2 linked regions of the Stegostoma tigrinum genome follow. The protein of the gene in region 1 interacts with the protein of each later gene in a pairwise test. Links are inferred from orthologs where the notes say so. Each region holds a gene or a part of one and is shown on either strand. Other genes may lie near its edges. The genes, in order: fkbp8 and zfyve27.

The links.
Region 2: the proteins of fkbp8 (region 1) and zfyve27 interact in binary tests that used the Homo sapiens proteins (3 or more experiments, as listed by UniProt). The link is inferred for Stegostoma tigrinum from reciprocal best matches to the Homo sapiens genes FKBP8 and ZFYVE27.

Annotation. Positions count from the first base shown.
Region 1 is NC_081383.1:1,566,568-1,576,056, forward strand, and holds the start of fkbp8 (peptidyl-prolyl cis-trans isomerase FKBP8), read right to left. Parts: upstream 3,672-9,489; 5' UTR 3,564-3,671; exon of another isoform or gene 3,529-3,563; intron 2,871-3,528; 5' UTR 2,858-2,870; coding exon 2,521-2,857; intron 2,115-2,520; coding exon 1,945-2,114; intron 1,614-1,944; coding exon 1,525-1,613; intron 859-1,524; coding exon 638-858; intron 1-637. UniProt on the Homo sapiens protein: Constitutively inactive PPiase, which becomes active when bound to calmodulin and calcium. Seems to act as a chaperone for BCL2, targets it to the mitochondria and modulates its phosphorylation state.
Region 2 is NC_081373.1:11,490,609-11,499,238, forward strand, and holds the start of zfyve27 (protrudin), read right to left. Parts: upstream 3,698-8,630; 5' UTR 3,220-3,697; coding exon 2,909-3,219; intron 1-2,908. UniProt on the Homo sapiens protein: Key regulator of RAB11-dependent vesicular trafficking during neurite extension through polarized membrane transport. Promotes axonal elongation and contributes to the establishment of neuronal cell polarity.

The sequences.
Region 1 (9,489 bases):
CTTGATAACTGGTGGCCCAGAACAGAGATGCAGGAAGAAGCTGCAGCTCTCGAAATGAGACCACATCTGGAATAACTGTGTCCACTCCAGGCAGAGTGGTACTGTTCTGAATTCGGGGTTAAAAGATCCAGATTCAAATCCCACCTGCTCCTGACACAAGTCAAAACATCTAGGCAAGCTGGTTAAAAACATCTACACTTCAGAACCAGATGGGCCAGATTTACTAGAATGCTATGTGCCAAGGCATGAACCTAAATCAAATTCCTTGGGACATTTAAGCTACGTAGGCGATTAAAGAGAGAATTTTGGCATTTTGAAAAGAACTGATCAGTTGCTAGACAGAGACAGAGTGAGAGTTGCCTCTCCAGGGCAGGGGCAGGTTAGGCAACGGGCCTTACAATCCAAGCTAGGCCTTTTAGAAGAGGGACTGCAACAAAGGACCAGGTCAGATCATAACTTTATATCATATACTGACAGGCTGTGACTGGACAGGAATATCAAGGTACAGGGAGCCAGGAAGAAGCTAAATGATAGAGAGTGAATGGCTTCATCCTGCACCCCCTATCGTCAGATTAGTTACATCTTTCATTTCAGTTCCATTCAAACAACACCCGTAGCAGTGCGGTGCTGAATTTACCTTTGGAGCTGGAGTTGATGATATTGAGAGCAATGTCATAGGAGCCGATTGCAAAGACATATTCATTGCGCAAGAAATACGTATTTCCTCGCTCTCGTTTCTTATTAGCCAGCAGCAGTCTCTCCTTCCCCGACAACAGCTCCAGATCCGGGCTGTCACCCATAGAGAGAAGCTGAACCTCCAAATGGACAGTGGCATTTGAGGGCACACTGGGCTCAGAGCTGAGAGACGAGAGACAGCATTAATGACAACTCCTACTATACCAACCAGTTCCACATACCTTATGCTGCACAGAATATTTACTTTAAAAAACAGATGAAGCCCCAGGGACACAGCATTGATAAAGGTTCCCACTGGACCTCAGAACAATCCTGCTCAAAACAACAGGCTGAAATTCTGCTAACTGCAAGATTCCAAAATCCAGGAGGTCCATCACAAAAAAACTTGTGGAAAAATATCCAACACAAGTCAGCCAAAGATGGACAGAAATCCAAGAGAGAGATGACAGAGCAACTCAGCATTTTACAAGGAGCTTTACTCTGTATCTAGCCCATGCTGTCCCTGCCTTGGGAGTGTTTGATGGGGACAGCGTTAAAAGGACTTCACTTTCAGTTTAAAAGAGTAGAGTTGCCTCTCATCCTTTTAAACTCCAATGAACACCAGTCCAACCTGTTCACACATTCCTCACAAACCAATCCCAGGAATTAGTTTAGCTAACCCTCTGAACTGTTCTAAGCTTGTCCTGTCCATATCCGAGGAGTCTTAATGAAACATGGACTGAAGTGCTGAAGGATTGATACAGAGAAACAGCCTGATAATGTCTGTAGTAAGGATTGGGGTTTGCTCATCCAGACGCTTGGGAATTACAAGGAGGTCTCTGCACCCACCTGCCCAGACTGCCATAAGCGTATTTTGCATCAGAGACAATCAATGCAACTTCATTCTGGTCCATCAACTGAACGCAGAGATCTAACGCCTGGATAAAAAGAGAGAACGAGACCCTGAAACAGTACTCTCATAGAACCTGCCTCTGTAAAGACAAAAGAACCAGAAATCTAAACAGAAAGTGCTGCAGGAACTCAGCAGCTCCAGCAGTATCTGTGAGGGTGGAGGAGGAGGATGGAGTAGGTGGCAAGGGGGGGGGTGGGGGGGGGGGGGGGCGCGAGGTGAATGTTAAGTCAAGTATGAATGTTTTTTGCAAGTTCAGAAGAGCCACATCCAGCACTTTCAGTTTGGATTTCAGATTTCCACCATTTGCAGTGGTTTGTTTCTATTGGAAAGGAATGAGAAACTCGCCCAAAACCAACCTGGATAACATCACCGTCCCCCACGGTGAAACAAAGATTAGGATCTTCCTCCACCTCAGTCCCATCCTCCAACGTCATCTTCAGTCTCACTGTTACATTTTGACCTTTCTGTGGCCTCGGCTCCTGACTCTGGCCAGCTACTAGAACTTTCTTCTTCAGCAGCCCGTTCCCTGCAGGAGTGAGCAAGGAAATTAAGCGCTGAGAATTGGATTAGAGGAGGATTCAGTGACGATGCCATCACAAGTTATATGTTTGTGGGTTTTGCTGGTCGAGCCAGCATTTATTTTCCAGCCCAAATTGCCCAGAAGATAGTTAAGAACCTACAGCAACACTGTGGGTTTGGAGTCACACACAGGTTCGACGAGGGAAGGACAACAGATGTCCTCCCCTAGACAGACAACAAGGCAGATGGATTAATGTCGACTAGTGGCATGATCAGCCATTACGGCGCTCCCCCTGCGCTAGCCCTCCGAGAGCGCGGCGCTCCCCCTGCGCTGGCCCTCCGACAGTACTGAATAAACAACCAACATGTGGAAAGTACGTGACAGGTTAGTGTGTGAGACAGCTGAACCATACCCAGGACCTGAAGCCACTCATCATCAGTTTCCTGTGAACTGTCCTGATTCCCTGCCCTGCTTCCAGCCTCTTTGTTCATCACGGTGATGCTGGACTCCGGGTTTTCCTCAGCTGCAACCTGGACCTCAGGAAGTCCCAAGTCTTCCAAAGAAGGGAGCTCACTTGTGTCCTCTTCATCAGTGTCATCATTGCTCATCTCAACATCCTCCCCACTGTCAAGGAGAAAGGCTTTTGTATGGACTGGGAGCTTCCCTGAGGTGTGAGCGACATCATGCTTACTCCCCAGAGTTATTGCATCTCCGGCTGCTCCCGCAGAACCCCGGGCCACCTCCTCCATGTGAGCTCAGAAACTGCAAGGGAGGAAAAGTAAGAAAGTAAATGAACTGGCACAAGAGTCTCCAAATTCCCTATCAAGCAGCTCCCACTGTCCCAGTTCCTCAGTGGGACAGACACTGAGGGGATCAAAGTAAATGGTGATGCCCCCACAGTTGAACAGCATTGCTGGTTTGCTAATTAACATTTGGTGCTTTAGGAGCCAGCTATTAGAGCCCCAGCAGATATTATTTCCTTCCAGAGAGAAGGAACAGTCAGAGAGAGAGAGAGAAAGTGTGTGTGTGTGTCTGGTCCCCGAAGGCAGAGCTGATCGTCTACAGCAGGCAGCTGAGATCACTGCAGCAGCAAAGGCCCGAGCTTCCATTAATCCAGGGACAGAAAGGGAATTAAACAGACTCCATGCAACAAAAGTGCCCTCAGACTGGGGGACACCACAGGCCTTAGACCCCGAGGGTATCTGACCGGTTTCAATAGCCCCCAGAGGTATCTGACCGGTTTCTACGGCCCCCGGAGAGTATCTGGCCGGTTTCAATAGCCCCCGGAAGTATCTGACCGGTTTCTACGGCCCCCAGAGAGTATCTGACCGGTTTCAATAGCCCCCGGAGGTATCCGACCGGTTTCTACGACCCCCGGAAGTATCTGACTGGTTTCTACGGCCCCCGGAGGGTATCTTACCGGTTTCTATGCCCCCTGCTCACTCTGTCCCTCACCTTGTCTCTAACTTCCGCTCTTCAAGCTCGGGCTCCGCCCGCGGGATCTCATTGGACAAACACGCGGCGCCCTCTCCACTGATTGGTTTCTGCGGAATGTCTGTCAAATCAACTTCCGGTTCCTCCACAGTTTGGTACCAAAGCGATCTCTTAAAGTAGTATCAGAGATAATGGGAACTGCAGATGCTGGAGATTCCAAGATAATAAAATGTGAGGCTGGATGAACACAGCAGGCCAAGCAGCATCTCAGGAGCACAAAAGCTGACGTTTCGGGCCTAGACCCTTCATCAGAGAGGGGGATGGGGGGAGGGAACTGGAATAAATAGGGAGAGAGGGGGAGGCGGACCGAAGATGGAGAGTAAAGAAGATAGGTGGAGAAGGTGTAGGTGGGGAGGTAGGGAGGGGATAGGTCAGTCCAGGGAAGACGGACAGGTCAAGGAGGTGGAATGAGGTTAGTAGGTAGCTGGGGGTGCGGCTTGGGGTGGGAGGAAGGGATGGGTGAGAGGAAGAACAGGTTAGGGAGGCAGAGACAGGTTGGACTGGTTTTGGGATGCAGTGGGTGGGGGGGAAGAGCTGGGCTGGTTGTGTGGTGCAGTGGGGGGAGGGGATGAACTGGGCTGGTTTAGGGATGCAGTGGGGGAAGGGGAGATTTTGAAACTGGTGAAGTCCACATTGATCCCATATGGCTGCAGGGTTCCCAGGCGGAATATGAGTTGCTGTTCCTGCAACCTTCGGGTGGCATCATTGTGGCACTGCAGGAGGCCCATGACGGACATGTCATCTAAAGAATGGGAGGGGGAGTGGAAATGGTTTGCGACTGGGAGGTGCAGTTGTTTTTTGCGAACTGAGCGGAGGTGTTCTGCAGAGCGGTCCCCAAGCCTCCGCTTGGTTTCCCCAATGTAGAGGAAGCCACACCGGGTACAGTGGATGCAGTATACCACATTGGCAGATGTGCAGGTGAACCTCTGCTTAATGTGGAATGTCATCTTGGGGCCTGGGATGGGGGTGAGGGAGGAGGTGTGGGGACAAGTGTAGCATTTCCTGCGTTTGCAGGGGAAGGTGCCGGGTGTGGTGGGGTTGGAGGGCAGTGTGGAGCGAACAAGGGAGTCACGGAGAGAGTGGTCTCTCCGGAAAGCAGACAGGGGTGGGGATGGAAAAATGTCTTGGGTGGTGGGGTCGGATTGTAGATGTTGGAAGTGTCGGAGGATGATGCGTTGTATCCGGAGGTTGGTGGGGTGGTGTGTGAGAACGAGCGGGATCCTCTTTTGGCGGTTGTGGCGGGGGCAGTGTGTGAGGGATGTGTTGCGGGAAATACGGGAGACGCGGTCAAGGGCGCTCTCGATAACTGTGGGGGGAAAGTTGCGGTCCTTGAAGAACTTGGACATCTGGGATGTGCGGGAGTGGAATGTTTTGTCGTGGGAGCAGATGCGGCGGAGGAATTGGGAATAAGGGATGGAATTTTTGTAGGACGGTGGGTGGGAGGAGGTGTATTCTAGGTAGCTGTGGGAGTCGGTGGGCTTGAAATGGACATCAGTTACAAGCTGGTTGCCTGAGATGGAGACTGAGAGGTCCAGGAAGGTGAGGGATGTGCTGGAGATGGCCCAGGTGAACTGAAGGTTGGGGTGGAAGGTGTTGGTGAAGTGGATGAACTGTTCGAGCTCCTCTGGGGAGCAAGAGGCGGCGCCGATACAGTCATCAATGTACCGGAGGAAGAGGTGGGGTTTGGGGCCTGTGTAGGTGCGGAAGAGGGACTGTTCCACGTAACCTACAAAGAGGCAGGCATAGCTGGGGCCCATGCAGGTGCCCGTGGCCACCCCCTTAGTCTGTAGGAAGTGGGAGGAGTCAAAATGCAACCTCCCAGCACCCAGGCAGTAATCCACCCAGTGCCCCAGCACCCACCCAGTAACCCACTCAGAGACCCAGAACCCCTCCCAGAGACCCAACACCCACCCATAAACACAATACTCACCGAGAGACCCATCACCCATACTGCACACACCCAGTAACCCACCCAGTTACCCAGCACCCACCCAGACAGCCAGCACCCATCCAGTGAGCTAGCACAGAATTCAATGTGCACCCACCCAGAGACACAGCACTCACGCTGAGACTCAATACACATCAAATCAATAAAACCATTCAAAGCCAGCAGCACATTATAGAACGGGGCCCATATGTCCAATCTATCCATCTAAATATGCATCACCACCATGAACTTGCAGCACCTGTCCCCACCCACCCAGTTACCACAACCTCTGCTGCTTTCTGGTCGCTGGTACATTGTTTCCGCCTGCATTGTGACAAGCTGAACTCATCCATTGCAGCAGAGGTCCTGTGTATCTGAGTGTTGTGGGGCTACCACTGAGACGTGTCCTGACACACAGGCACCGCAACATTAAGCCACGCACAAGGGGAAGGTTAAATAGGTGAATGAGTGAATGATGGTGAGGGATAAATGTAGTTTGATGTTGTTTGGTTTCTTGTGTAGAGAGTAAAGCTTAACAAATCCAGGAAGGACTGATGATTTTACAAATTTGCTTGCAAATTCCATGCTGTTCTGAATTTATTTCGGACTGTTTCTTGTCTACAGCCACCTTCGACTCTGTGCCTCAAACCCTTTCCCTTCTCATGCCAGGATCTCCTCAGTTGTGAATCTTTGGAAATCCCTTCCCCGGAGACTGCTCCATTTTGGGCCGTAGTTGAGGCTGGGATGGAGGGATTATCAGTTCCTCTGGAATTAAAGAAAGAAGTAAGTGGGAGGGAAGGGGCAGCTGATAAAGATCAGTTACAACTGTATTGGTTCCAGGAGCTGGCTTGAGGTGCCATATATACAACTAACTCCTGTTCTTATTTCCCATTCTTCTGGATGATTCATCCTTCTCATGGTGTCTTCCTTTCTTGACAGAATATCTGGGAAACAGGAGCAGGAGTAGGCCATCCTGTCCCTTGAGCTTGGTCTGCCATTTCCCAAGATCATGGCTGATCATCTGTCTTAATATCATTTTCCCGCATGATCTTCATAACCCTTGATGTCACAAGTAACCAGAAATGTATCTTGAACATATCCAATGTTTGAGTTTCCACAACCTCTGGGATAGAGATTTTCAATGATTAATGCCCATTGGAGTGAAAAAAATTCCTCCTTGTCTCAGTTCTAAATGTCTTGTCCGTCATGCTATGTTCCCTGTCTCTAACCTCACCAGCCAAGGCATGGCAGGCAACACACCATTGTTCTGCCATTCTCACATTCCAATGACTTAAAAGGAACTATCAACACCTTTGCAACACCAGCACCCTACACCCACTAACCCCAATGCCCCTTCCCCATGCTACTGCATCAATGCTGTCCCCTCCACACCACTTCAGCTCTGATGAAGAGTCATCTAGACTCGAAACATTAGCTTGCCTGTCCCCTTGGATGGTGTTTGACTTGCTGTGATCTCCAGTATTTTATTGTTTCCAACCATGGCAAACATCCTGAGATACTGTCACAGCTTGTAGGATATTATAGTAAGAATGTTGAAAGTTTCAATGAGTTCATATCCTATTCTTTGAAACTCTGGAGAATATAGGCCCCATTAGCCAAATTTCTCTGCAGAAGACAGTCTTGTCATCTTGGAAACAAGTCTGGTGAATCTTTGTCGAACATCCTCTACACTAAGTGTGAAGAAATTTCATGTAAATGATTATTTTTATTTGGAAACCTAGCATTTGAAGTAGATAGAATCATCTATAGTTTTAATTTTGAGTTACATGTTTACATTATGTCTGTTAAAAAGGGAACAACTTTGATTTGGTTTCATTTCAGATTTGGCTTCTATGTTGCACCAAGGTGTCTGAAGTTTGTTGATATGCATCAAAAGTAGTTCTTTAAAGCACTTGGGGTGAATAGTTCACTGCATTAGAAACAAGGGTTAAAAAAAGTTTTGAAAAAAAGTAGAACTATTGAACACTTGCCTAGTGTCACAACTCACTGGAGCAGCAGTTCCCGTACTCCCAGAGTCATCACAAATGTGAAAAGATTTTGTCAAGCCAGCCAATGTCCACAAGTTACCTGCTGATGAACTCAGGCTTAAAGAAAACACTCATCAGGTTTCTGTGTCTACAAAAAAATAACTGTTTATTTCATGTAAATGATCTTTAAACAATGGCATTTGGGAAATATGAATTACTAACTTATCCTTCCACAACTTAAACTCTACCATTTTCAAATTTTCTTCCCTCTCACAAACAAACAGATTCATGGAGACTGACAAGTCATGGATATTAAGGGTGGAGAAACAGGGGAAGAAAGGAAAACACAGGATTTGTTGAGTTGTTTTCTCTCTCTTCCAATTATTTATGTTCTTTGTCACTGACACAAGATTGTTTACACACTGATAATGGGAACTGCAGATGCTGGAGAATCCAAGATAACAAAGTGTGAAGCTGGATGAACACCGCAGGCCAAGCAGCACCTCAGGAGCTCTCTAATGAAGGGTCTAGGCCCGAAACGTCAGCTTTTGTGCTCCTGAGATGCTGCTTGGCCTGCTGTGTTCATCCAGCTCCACACTTTGTTATCATTGTTTACACACTGATGCTCTCTTTCATTCATTGGTTGAAACTATACACACCACTTCTTTGAGAATTATGAAATATCTCTAACTGTCAGTTATAGTTTATCTATTATTTTGCCTTTCAACGATTTCTTCCATTCAACTTTAGCCAGTCTGTTAGTCCCTTTGTAATTGTTCTTAATTACATTTAAAGCACTAATTTCAGACCAAAGATTCTCACTCTCTAGCAATATGAAATTCTTTCACACTTTGACTGCGACAGAATCCTTTATGATGTGGTAACTAATTAGCCCTGCCTCATTCCACATTATTAGGCCCAAAATAGTTGATTCCCTAGTTGACTTTTAAAACATATGTTTCTAAAAATGTTTTCTTAAATATAATCTATGAATATGTCCCTGATGTACCTTTGCCAGCTTGATTTGGCCAATCTACATGAAGACTAGCATTGCCCAGAGTTATTGCTGTTCTTTTCTGACAAAACTTCATTAATTTCCTTTTTATCATTCATTCAGGGATGTGGCATCAGTGGCTGGGCCAGCACTTATCCATCCCTATTGCCCTTGTGAAGGTGATGGTGAGCTGCCTTCTTCAACTACAGACCACGTACTGAAGGTAGACCTACAATGCCATTTGGGATGGAATTCCAGGATTTTGACACAGTGAAGGAACAGCAGTATATTTCCAAGTCAGCATGGAGAGTGGTTTGGAGGGGAACTTGCAGGGGGTGGTGTTCCCATACATCTGCTGCCCTTGTCCTTCCAGACAGAAGATATTTCAAGTTTGTAAGGTGAATTTCTGCAGTGCATCTAATAGATGGTACTCACTGCTTCTCCTGAGTGTTGGTGGTGGAGGGAGTGAATGTTGAAAGTGGTGGACTGGGTGCCAATCAATGGGCTTATTTTCCTGGCTGGTGTTGCAATGTGAGTGTTTTTGGAACCACATCGTGAGTTAACTCAGTCAGATACTGTAAATAGCTACAAGAGCAGGTCAGAGTCTAGGAATACTGCAGTGAGTAACTCACCTCCTGACCCCTCAAAGCCTGACACCACCTACAAGGCATAAGTCAGCAGTATGATGGAATACTCGCCACCTGCCTCGATGAGTGCAGCTCAACAAAACTGAAGATGCTCCACACCATCCAGGACAAAGCATTGATTGGTACCACATCCACACAAATACACTTCCCTACCACTAGTGCTCAGTAACAGTAGTGTGTACTATTTACAAGACATTGCTGCAGAAATTCACCAGAGATCCTTAGACAGCACCTTCCAAACCCACCACCACTTCCATCTAGAAGGTCAGATAGTACAGACTCGATGGGCTGAAGCTCACCACCACTTTCTCAAGGGCAACTAGGTTTAGGC
Region 2 (8,630 bases), on another chromosome or scaffold:
TTTCTCAAGCACAGAGGTCAATTGCCAGGGGGCACAGGTTTAAGGTGATTGGCAGAAATATTAGACGGGGCTCAAGGAAAAGCTTTGTCACCCAGAGGGTGTTAGTGTCTGCGATTCACTGCCCAGCTGGGTGATTAAGTAAGGAATCCTCAACTCAGTTAAAAGGAAGCAGCATCTGCACCTGAAAAGCTGCAACCTGAAAGGCTACAGACCAGATGCTGGTAACTGGGATTAGAAGAGGTGACTAAAATATTCAGCCAGTGCAGACATAATGGGTAGGTTGAGTCTTTGTGCTAAAATTTTTCTATGGTTCTGGGTCACAGTCAAAACATGTTCGTCAGGGAATTGTAATACAGGATATTCACTAATAATAAGAACTGCAGATGCTGGAGAATCTGAGATAACAAAATGTAGTGCTGGTTGAACGCATCTCAAAACCAGTCCAACCTGTCTCTGCCTCCCTAACCTGTTCTTCCTCTCACCCATCCCTTCCTCCCACCCCAGGCCGCAACTCCATCTCCTACCTACTAACCTGATCCCACCTCCTCGATCTGTCCGTCTTCCCTGGACTGACCTATCCCCTCCCTACCTCCCCACCAAACTCTCCTCTCCCTCCATCTTCGGTCTGGCTCCCCCTCTCTCCCTATTTATTCCAGAACCCTCACCCCATCCCCCTCTCTGATGAAGGGTCTAGGCCCGAAACGTCAGCTTTTGTACTCCTGAGATGCTGCTTGGTCTGCTGTGTTCATCCAGCCTCACATTTTATTATCTTGGATTCTCCAGCATCTGCAGTTCCCATTATCACTCCTAAGATGCTGGGTGGCTTGCTGTGTACATCCAGCTCTAGGCTTTGTTATCACAGAATATTCACTGTTCACTTACACAGGGAGAGAGACATTAATTCAAGATAGCATCCAGATGTCAGCAGTGGCGCATCTCTGCCATGCTTAGCAATCACAAACTGCATGATGGACCGCAAAAAGCCTCTTCTGTAAATTCTAACAACAATATGTAACCATTTACAAGCACCAATTTGTCCATTAGTTATGTTATCATAAATTTCACAACAGAGGGACAATGTGAAAAAGGGCCATATAGACATCACTTGGCCCCTCAAATCTATGTCGCCATTTAACAAGACGGTAACTTATTTTTTATCTCAGCTCCACCTGCCCTTACAATCCCCATACCTTTCACTTTTCAAACATCTATCAAACGGTTCTTGATTATATTCAAAAACCAAACACCCAAAGCAGATAAAGGGAATTCCAAAGATTCACAATCCTTTCATTGAAGGAATTTCTTCTCATCTCAGTGTTAATGGCCTTCTGCAACTCTAACTCATGTTCCAAATGTGATAAGGTAGAATTATTTTCTTTCTACAACTTAATTACCAGCGTGGAAATATTATCACTGAGGCTGTTAATGGGACAAACAGCGCACAAATTGCTTGCACTGTCTCACTTAAATAAATAAAGTTGGCAACAATGATCATATTGATTCATTGGCCACTGTCATTCCACGCAATGTTCCCACTAAGCTGTGTTTGTGTGTGCAGCTGCACTGAAGGTCTGCGCACAATCATGCCAATGCTTTCTGCATGCACTGGCTGGACACAGTAGAGGGAACGCAGTTTGAGGTGTCAGATGACTTATCACTTTCAATATCACTCTTGCTGCTCCCTTGGTCTCTTCTTGTGTGGCAGATCCTTGAATTGAAGATGACTTTCTTCTATTTCAGTGCGATGAGTCCTGGTGACTAAGAGCCCAGTGCTGGATCTGCTGACACTATCAGATGGTATAGGTGGTATCTCAACAGGCGAGTGGATTGGATGCCTGCATCTGTGCACACTCCTTTCATTGTTTGTACTGGCTTCCACCTGCTTCCCTCCAAGTTGATCGAGACTGATGAGACCTTCATGGATATTTCTTCTCCAGTTTGGACAAATCACAGTCAAGGGGTTCTCAAGATTCTGTGAGGACATTGTTTTTTTCAGGGAGGTTTTGACAACATCTTGAAATGTTTCCTGTACCTTGTTGGTAACCACTTGCCATGACAGAGCTCAGAGCAGGCATCATGTCTTATGTCAGGCATGTGCTAGGAATGTTGGCATGAGAGAGGATGCTAATGTTGGATAAGCAGGATTTTAGCCTGGGATGCAAAGAGTGATAAGCAGGCCTCTCACATGTTAGCACATTTGATTGAAACACCTCAAACAGCACTGCCTCGCACCACGCTCTCAGCAGCTAAATCCTCTTAGTACTTCAGATTCAAATCCTCTTACCATTCCAGGGCAAGGACAACTAGCTTCTAAATGGCACCAAACTAATTTAGTCATGCGATTTTGATGTCATGAATGAGCAGACCAGAGCTAGTGGACTACAACAGTGCCATTGTGGCTTGAAGTAATTAACTGGTTATAAAACATTTCCAACACCCTGTCAGCAGCACTGTAGAGTAATCAGCGAAGCCATGGCCCTATTGAATGGCAGAGCAGGCTAAATGGGCCGAGAGTCTTAAATGGTATGTTGGTAAGATACTGCTCAGTCTGAATCATGTAATTACAGTCTTCACATTTACAATTCATAAATGAAACCTTTTGACAGTCATGTATATTTCACAAAGCTAGATAACAGTTTAGCTGTATTTGATAAACTGGTGTCCATTAGCTAACAAAAGTTGCATCAAAATACATCATTGTGCGATGGAAAATACCATCTTAACCAAATAACTCATGTTTATTCTTGCCCCTTTGGCCTATTCCGGTCCCCACAAACACGGGAGAAAACAAAACCTGTACCAATAAGTTTCTGCAAAAATAAAAACCATTGTAAATAGCAAAACAAAACAGACTATCAGCCACCAAGTTAGGGGGCAAACTGACAAAGAGGAACATAAACAAACACACCTGATCAAATACTTCACCATCTCCCAAGCGTCGTAGAGTGGCTCTGCGAAGAACTCTAGCCTCTTGAAAGCCACGACCAGGCTCAGGAGGTCAAAGGTCTGAGGGGGTCTGTGCCTGGTCTTGGGCTCCACCAGGGGGCTGGCTTCCATCTCGGGCAGGGGGCAGCTGGCACTGAGTGGGGGGCTGCTGGCACAGCTGGCAGCAGCAGTGCTGGTGGCGGGTGGGCTGCCAGCAGAGTTCCTCCTTTCCCCCGCAGCCTCTGCCGGGCCAGCAGCCTCCCAGGTAGGGGCAGCGCCCACTGCAGACTGCATAGCTCCCAATGCACGTCTGGAAGATACAAATATTGCACCTGCACCTCTAGTATCTAAACATCTACACTGACACGCAGCTATACAATGAAGCAATGTGGAACACCACAGGTAATAAGGGTTTTAGATGAAATTGAGGTATTGCTGCTGCAGTGGGTTTCCAGCCCGGTCAACACAACGCTGGGCTGGTGACTGCATACAGGGGTCACGGGAGGGTCACGCGGTTGCTAGGAGACCACAGCCGGTGGCGGCCATGATGGTTTCGGACGCTGCCGCTCTCTCCTTCCCTTCGTGCTAATTTATTTATTATATTCCCCACTGCGGGCCGCCGCCTTCTTCTTCCCGCTCCTCCTCCTCTTCCTCCCCCGTGCTTCCTCGGAAGGCGCCGCTCCCGCACCGGACCGCTGCCGTTTGTTTTCGCTTCCTCCGCCCAGTCTCTCTGTCGGTCTCCTCGCTCCGAGCCAACCGTCACCTCACGCCCCGCCCCGCCCCGCCCCCCAACTCCCGAGGCAGGCCGCAGCAATCGAGCTCCTCCCGCATCGATGCAGGCCTGTCCGATGTGTCCGCCGCTGCTGCAGGGGGCGCTCTCACCTCCCCAGGAACCGCCAGCAGCGTAGTAGCGCCCCTGACTCTGAGCCAGGAGGCCAGGCTTCACGTCCCACCTGCCCCGTTGATTAGAAAAATAACCTCAAATGTTCAAATCCAGCTTTGTCTTACCAGGCCATAGCTCTTCTCTCTTTCTAGTAAGAGAGTGAGTGAGAAAGAGCACTGGTGGTGGTTTAACCTCAGGGTCACCATGTCTCCGGTGAGGGGAGAGGTTGAGAAGGTGAGCCGTCAATGGTAACCTTAGCCAGTGCTGCAAATGATCCATTTTGAATGGACATGCCTCTGCGTCTCAAACTGGCCATCCAAGGTAACCAATCCACTTGGTGGGATGCAGGTAGCTTCCTGCTCACTAATGCTGAGCACTATACGCGACATGTTTCTTTTATTCAATCATGAGGCATGGATGTCGCTAGCTAGTTCAACATTTATTGTCCGTTTCTAATTGCCCAGAATGCAGTTGAGAATCAACCACATTGTGGTTGGTCTAGAGTCACGTAAACCAGACTAGGTAAGGTTACTAGTTTCCTCTTTCCTGGATGACAGGTGGGCTATTCTGACAATTGACAATGGTTTGAATTAGAGTCTTCATTCCAGATTTTTATCAATTCAAATTCCACCATCTGCCATGGTGTGATCTGAACCCATGTCCCCGGAATGCTATCTGGTCCTTTGTGTTAGTATTCTAGCGATAATACCACTAGACCGCTGGAAATTCAAAGTTGCTGGCTTGAATTTTGTAGGAAACATCATTTTCCTTAGAGAAAAGAAAGCTATGGGGGTGTCCTGATTGGGGTGCATAAAGTTATGAGAAGCATAGATAGGGGTAAACTTTTCTCTTACTACAGAGGTCAATAACAATGAATAAATAAAAGTCTCACCGTACTTCTGACCATGTAACTGCATGTGCACAAATGGATCATGGTAGCATTTTTAATGGCAATGCCTGATCACCCACTTTGAGAGAACATATGAAATAGGACCAAGAGTAGGCCATCTGGCCCCTTAAGCATGCTCCACCTATTAATAAGATCATGGCTGATCTTCTCATGGGCTCAGCTCCACTTACCCATCGGCTTACCATGGCCCTTAATTCCTTTACTGTTCCAAAAGTTGTGTATCTTTTCCTTGCTTTTGAGCAAACACATAATTGGCATGAGATAATGGGAACTGCAGATGCTGGAGAATTCCAAGATAATAAAATGTGAGGCTGGATGAACACAGCAGGCCAAGCAGCATCTCAAGAGCACGAAGGGTCTAGGCCCGAAACGTCAGCTTTTGTGCTCCTGAGATGCTGCTTGGCCTGCTGTGTTCATCCAGCCTCACATTTTATTATCACATAATTGGCATGATCAGTTCATGTGTCCGATATCTGCATTACTTTGTTTTTATTTGAATGTTTCATTCGCTGCCACTTCTCTTCCAGGTATGTTCACAGACAAACGAACACTACTAGACAATTGCCTCCCCATTGAGAGGTACTATCGAGGGGGCACCACTTTTAGTTGAAAGGACACTGATTATTTTTATCTATTTCATGGTACCTACTAATGAATGTTAGCTGATAATGAAAGAGAGCTGTATGGTGAAGGTGCAGTATCAAAGAAGAAATGGGGGGGGGGGTTCAGCCCCTCCTGACGAACACACTGCTGTACTGTACAAAAGAAATGTGATTACATTTTAAGATATTAAAATATATCTGTCCAGAACAAAAACAATAATTTTTGATTCAGATTTTGTGCATGATACTGCTTTCTTTAATTTTGTCATGTTGAACGTAGCGTTAAAAAATTCTAACTCACAAATCATTTTCATAAATTTTGTTGTGATATTTGTCCAATTTTCTCTCCAAACCTTTAAACTAAACCTCCCCAAACTTTAAAAAGCACTTGGATGAGCTCTTGAAAATTCATAACATTCAAGACTTTGGGCCTTGTGCATGAAGGTGGGACTAGTGTAAATTTAGTATCGCTTTGGCAGTGCAGACTTGATGGACTGAAGGGTCTTTTCTGTACTGTATGGTTTTATGACTCAGTCATTCATGAGGCTACACTTTAATTTTTAAAAATTCAGAAATCTTGCCATTTCTAAAGAAGACTAAATAAGAATGCAGCAGGTAATTAAAAAAGGCAAATGGAATTTTGTCTGCCATTGCTCGAGGGATGGAGTTTAAAAGCAGGGAGGTGATACTGCAGCTGTATAGGGTCATAGTGAGGCCACACCTGGAATACTGTGTGCAGTTTTGGTCTCCTTACTTGTTAAGAGATATACTAGCACTGGATGGGGTGCAGAGGAGATTCACTCGGTCGATTTCAGAGTTGAGAGGGTTGGATTATGAGGAGAGACTGAGTAGGCTGGGATTATACTCATTGGAATTCAGAAGAATGAGGGGAGTCTTATATAACATACAAGATTATGATGGGAATAGATGAAGTGGAGGCAGGGAGGTTGTTTCCACTAGCAGGTGAAACTAGGACTAGAGGACATCACCTCAAAATAAAGGGAAGCAGATGTAGGACTAAGGTCAGGAGGAACTTCTTCACCCAATGGGTTGTGAATCTGTGGAATTCCCAGCCCAGTGAAGTGGTGGAAGCTACCTCGCTGAATGTGTTTAAGGCAAGGCTTTGAACAGTAAAGGAATTAAGGGTTATAGTGAGTAGGCGGTTAAGTGGAGCTGAGTCTCAAAAAGATCAGCCATGATCTTGTTAAATGGCGGGGTAGGCTCAAAGGGCTGGATGGCTTACTCCTGCTCCTAGTTCTTATGTTCTTATGATTAGCTAAATCAAATAGTTTCAATGAATAATTAGAGTGGATGAGGGAATCATTACATTATTACAATAATTGTAACTTAATTAAACATAGGAGTTGGGAAGAACATAAGAAATAAGAACAGGTGTTGATTATACAACCCCTGCAGCTTATTCTCGTATTCAATAGAATTGAGGCTGATCATCTGTCTCCATCCCCCTTTCTTACCTGATTCCCGTATTTCTTGATTCCTCAGCAAGTAGACGTTTAACAGTCTCCTCATGAATATACTCACCTTCAGCTCTTGTCAAGCCCATGAGTAAAGACATTTAACCTCATCTCAGTCCAACGTGTCCAGTCAATTAAAATGAAGCTGTGGGTGAGATTTTCACAGAGCCAGAAAGCTCTGCAGACATTAAAATGAGTTGGGCTCAGATGCAGAAGTTGTGGCCCCATTTCTAACATCCAACTTTTGTTAATTGAGGAAAAAGGATGAGGCAAGAATCATCAGGACAGAAACCCAAGCACATCAGGCCCATTTTAACATCGTACTGAGTTCAAGCAACTATTATTTTGCTATTTCAATAGCCTTGACCTGCAGTATGAGATTAGACAATCAAGAATAGATGTAAATCATTTTGAAGGGCTTTAAAGGTTTGTTTAACTTTTATAACCTGAAGTTGTTTAAAATCTCCAGCTCTTTACGTTGTAAAACTAAACTGCTTGCAGCTGTCATTGCTCATTTAAAAAAAACTCTGTTGGACTATTTTGATTGAAAGATCTTGGTATAGTATCTATTAAAATAGTTATAATTTCATTACTTATTGACTTTTCCCTAAGGGCAAATCATTATGAACGTTTGACCAAAAGTCAAAGACTACAGTTATAAGATATGTATAAATTTGCAATTTGAGTTACAACTTAAAGAGGCTATTAAAGGATTGGTCTTACAACCAGATAATGCCACATGGCAATAGCCGATCTTTGTTCAAGTCAAGTTCCTGTTCTGTTCCTGCTATTTTGTGTTTGTTGAATTATGATTTAATAAGTTTGTTTGGTGGTTCATGCCTAAAGCAATTGTTATTCCATCACCTGCCAATTTTAAGGAAGGTCGCTGTATGCATAAAAAAAACAGTTCAGATTATAAGAGACTAATCACTTGCAGTTTAAACTCTTGAATGTTTTCATGAATGGATTTTTTCCACTGTCAATATCTGTAGATAAGGTGGTTAAGAAAGCAGTTGAAGCATAAACGTGACCAGGAAGTTTATGATTAAACTGTATAAAATGCTGGTTAGATCACAACTTCCATACTGCAGTTCTGGTCAACACCTTATTGAAAGATTGTGATTGCACTAGAGAGGGTGCAGAAGAGATTTACAGGTTGCTGCATGGACTGGATGGTCTGAGACACGAGGAAGAATTGAATCAGCTGGGATTGTTTTTCTTCAAGAGGAGGAGGTTGGAAAGAGACCTGCTAGGGATGTATAATATTATGTGTGAGAACTATGGTAGGGGGCATGAATTGACATATATGAAGGGCCATTGAAGGGACTGTACTGGGGTTGAGGATTCAAGGGTTTAACATCTAAAAGAGTTAGGGTCATGTCCAAAAACCAATGTATTGTGTGAAAACTTCAGGACCTGAAGCAACCTTGCAGTGATGTGCCTCACAAACCTTATTGAGTTCTCTGAGAAGGTAACCAAACAGGTAGATGAGAGTAGAGAGAGAGAGATAATGGGAACTGCAGATGCTGGAGAATTCCAAGATAATAAAATGTGAGGCTGGATGAACACAGCAGGCCAAGCAGCATCTCAGGAGCACAAAAGCTGACGTTTCGGGCCTAGACCCTTCATCAGAGAGGGGGATGGGGAGAGGGAACTGGAATAAATAGGGAGAGAGGGGGAGGGGTAACGAAGATGGAGAGAAAAGAAGATAGGTGGAGAGGAGAGTATAGGTGGGGAGGTAGGGAGGGGATAGGTCAGTCCAGGGAAGACGGACAGGTCAAGGAGGTGGGATGAGGTTAGTAGGTAGATGGGGGTGCGGCTTGGGGTGGGAGGAA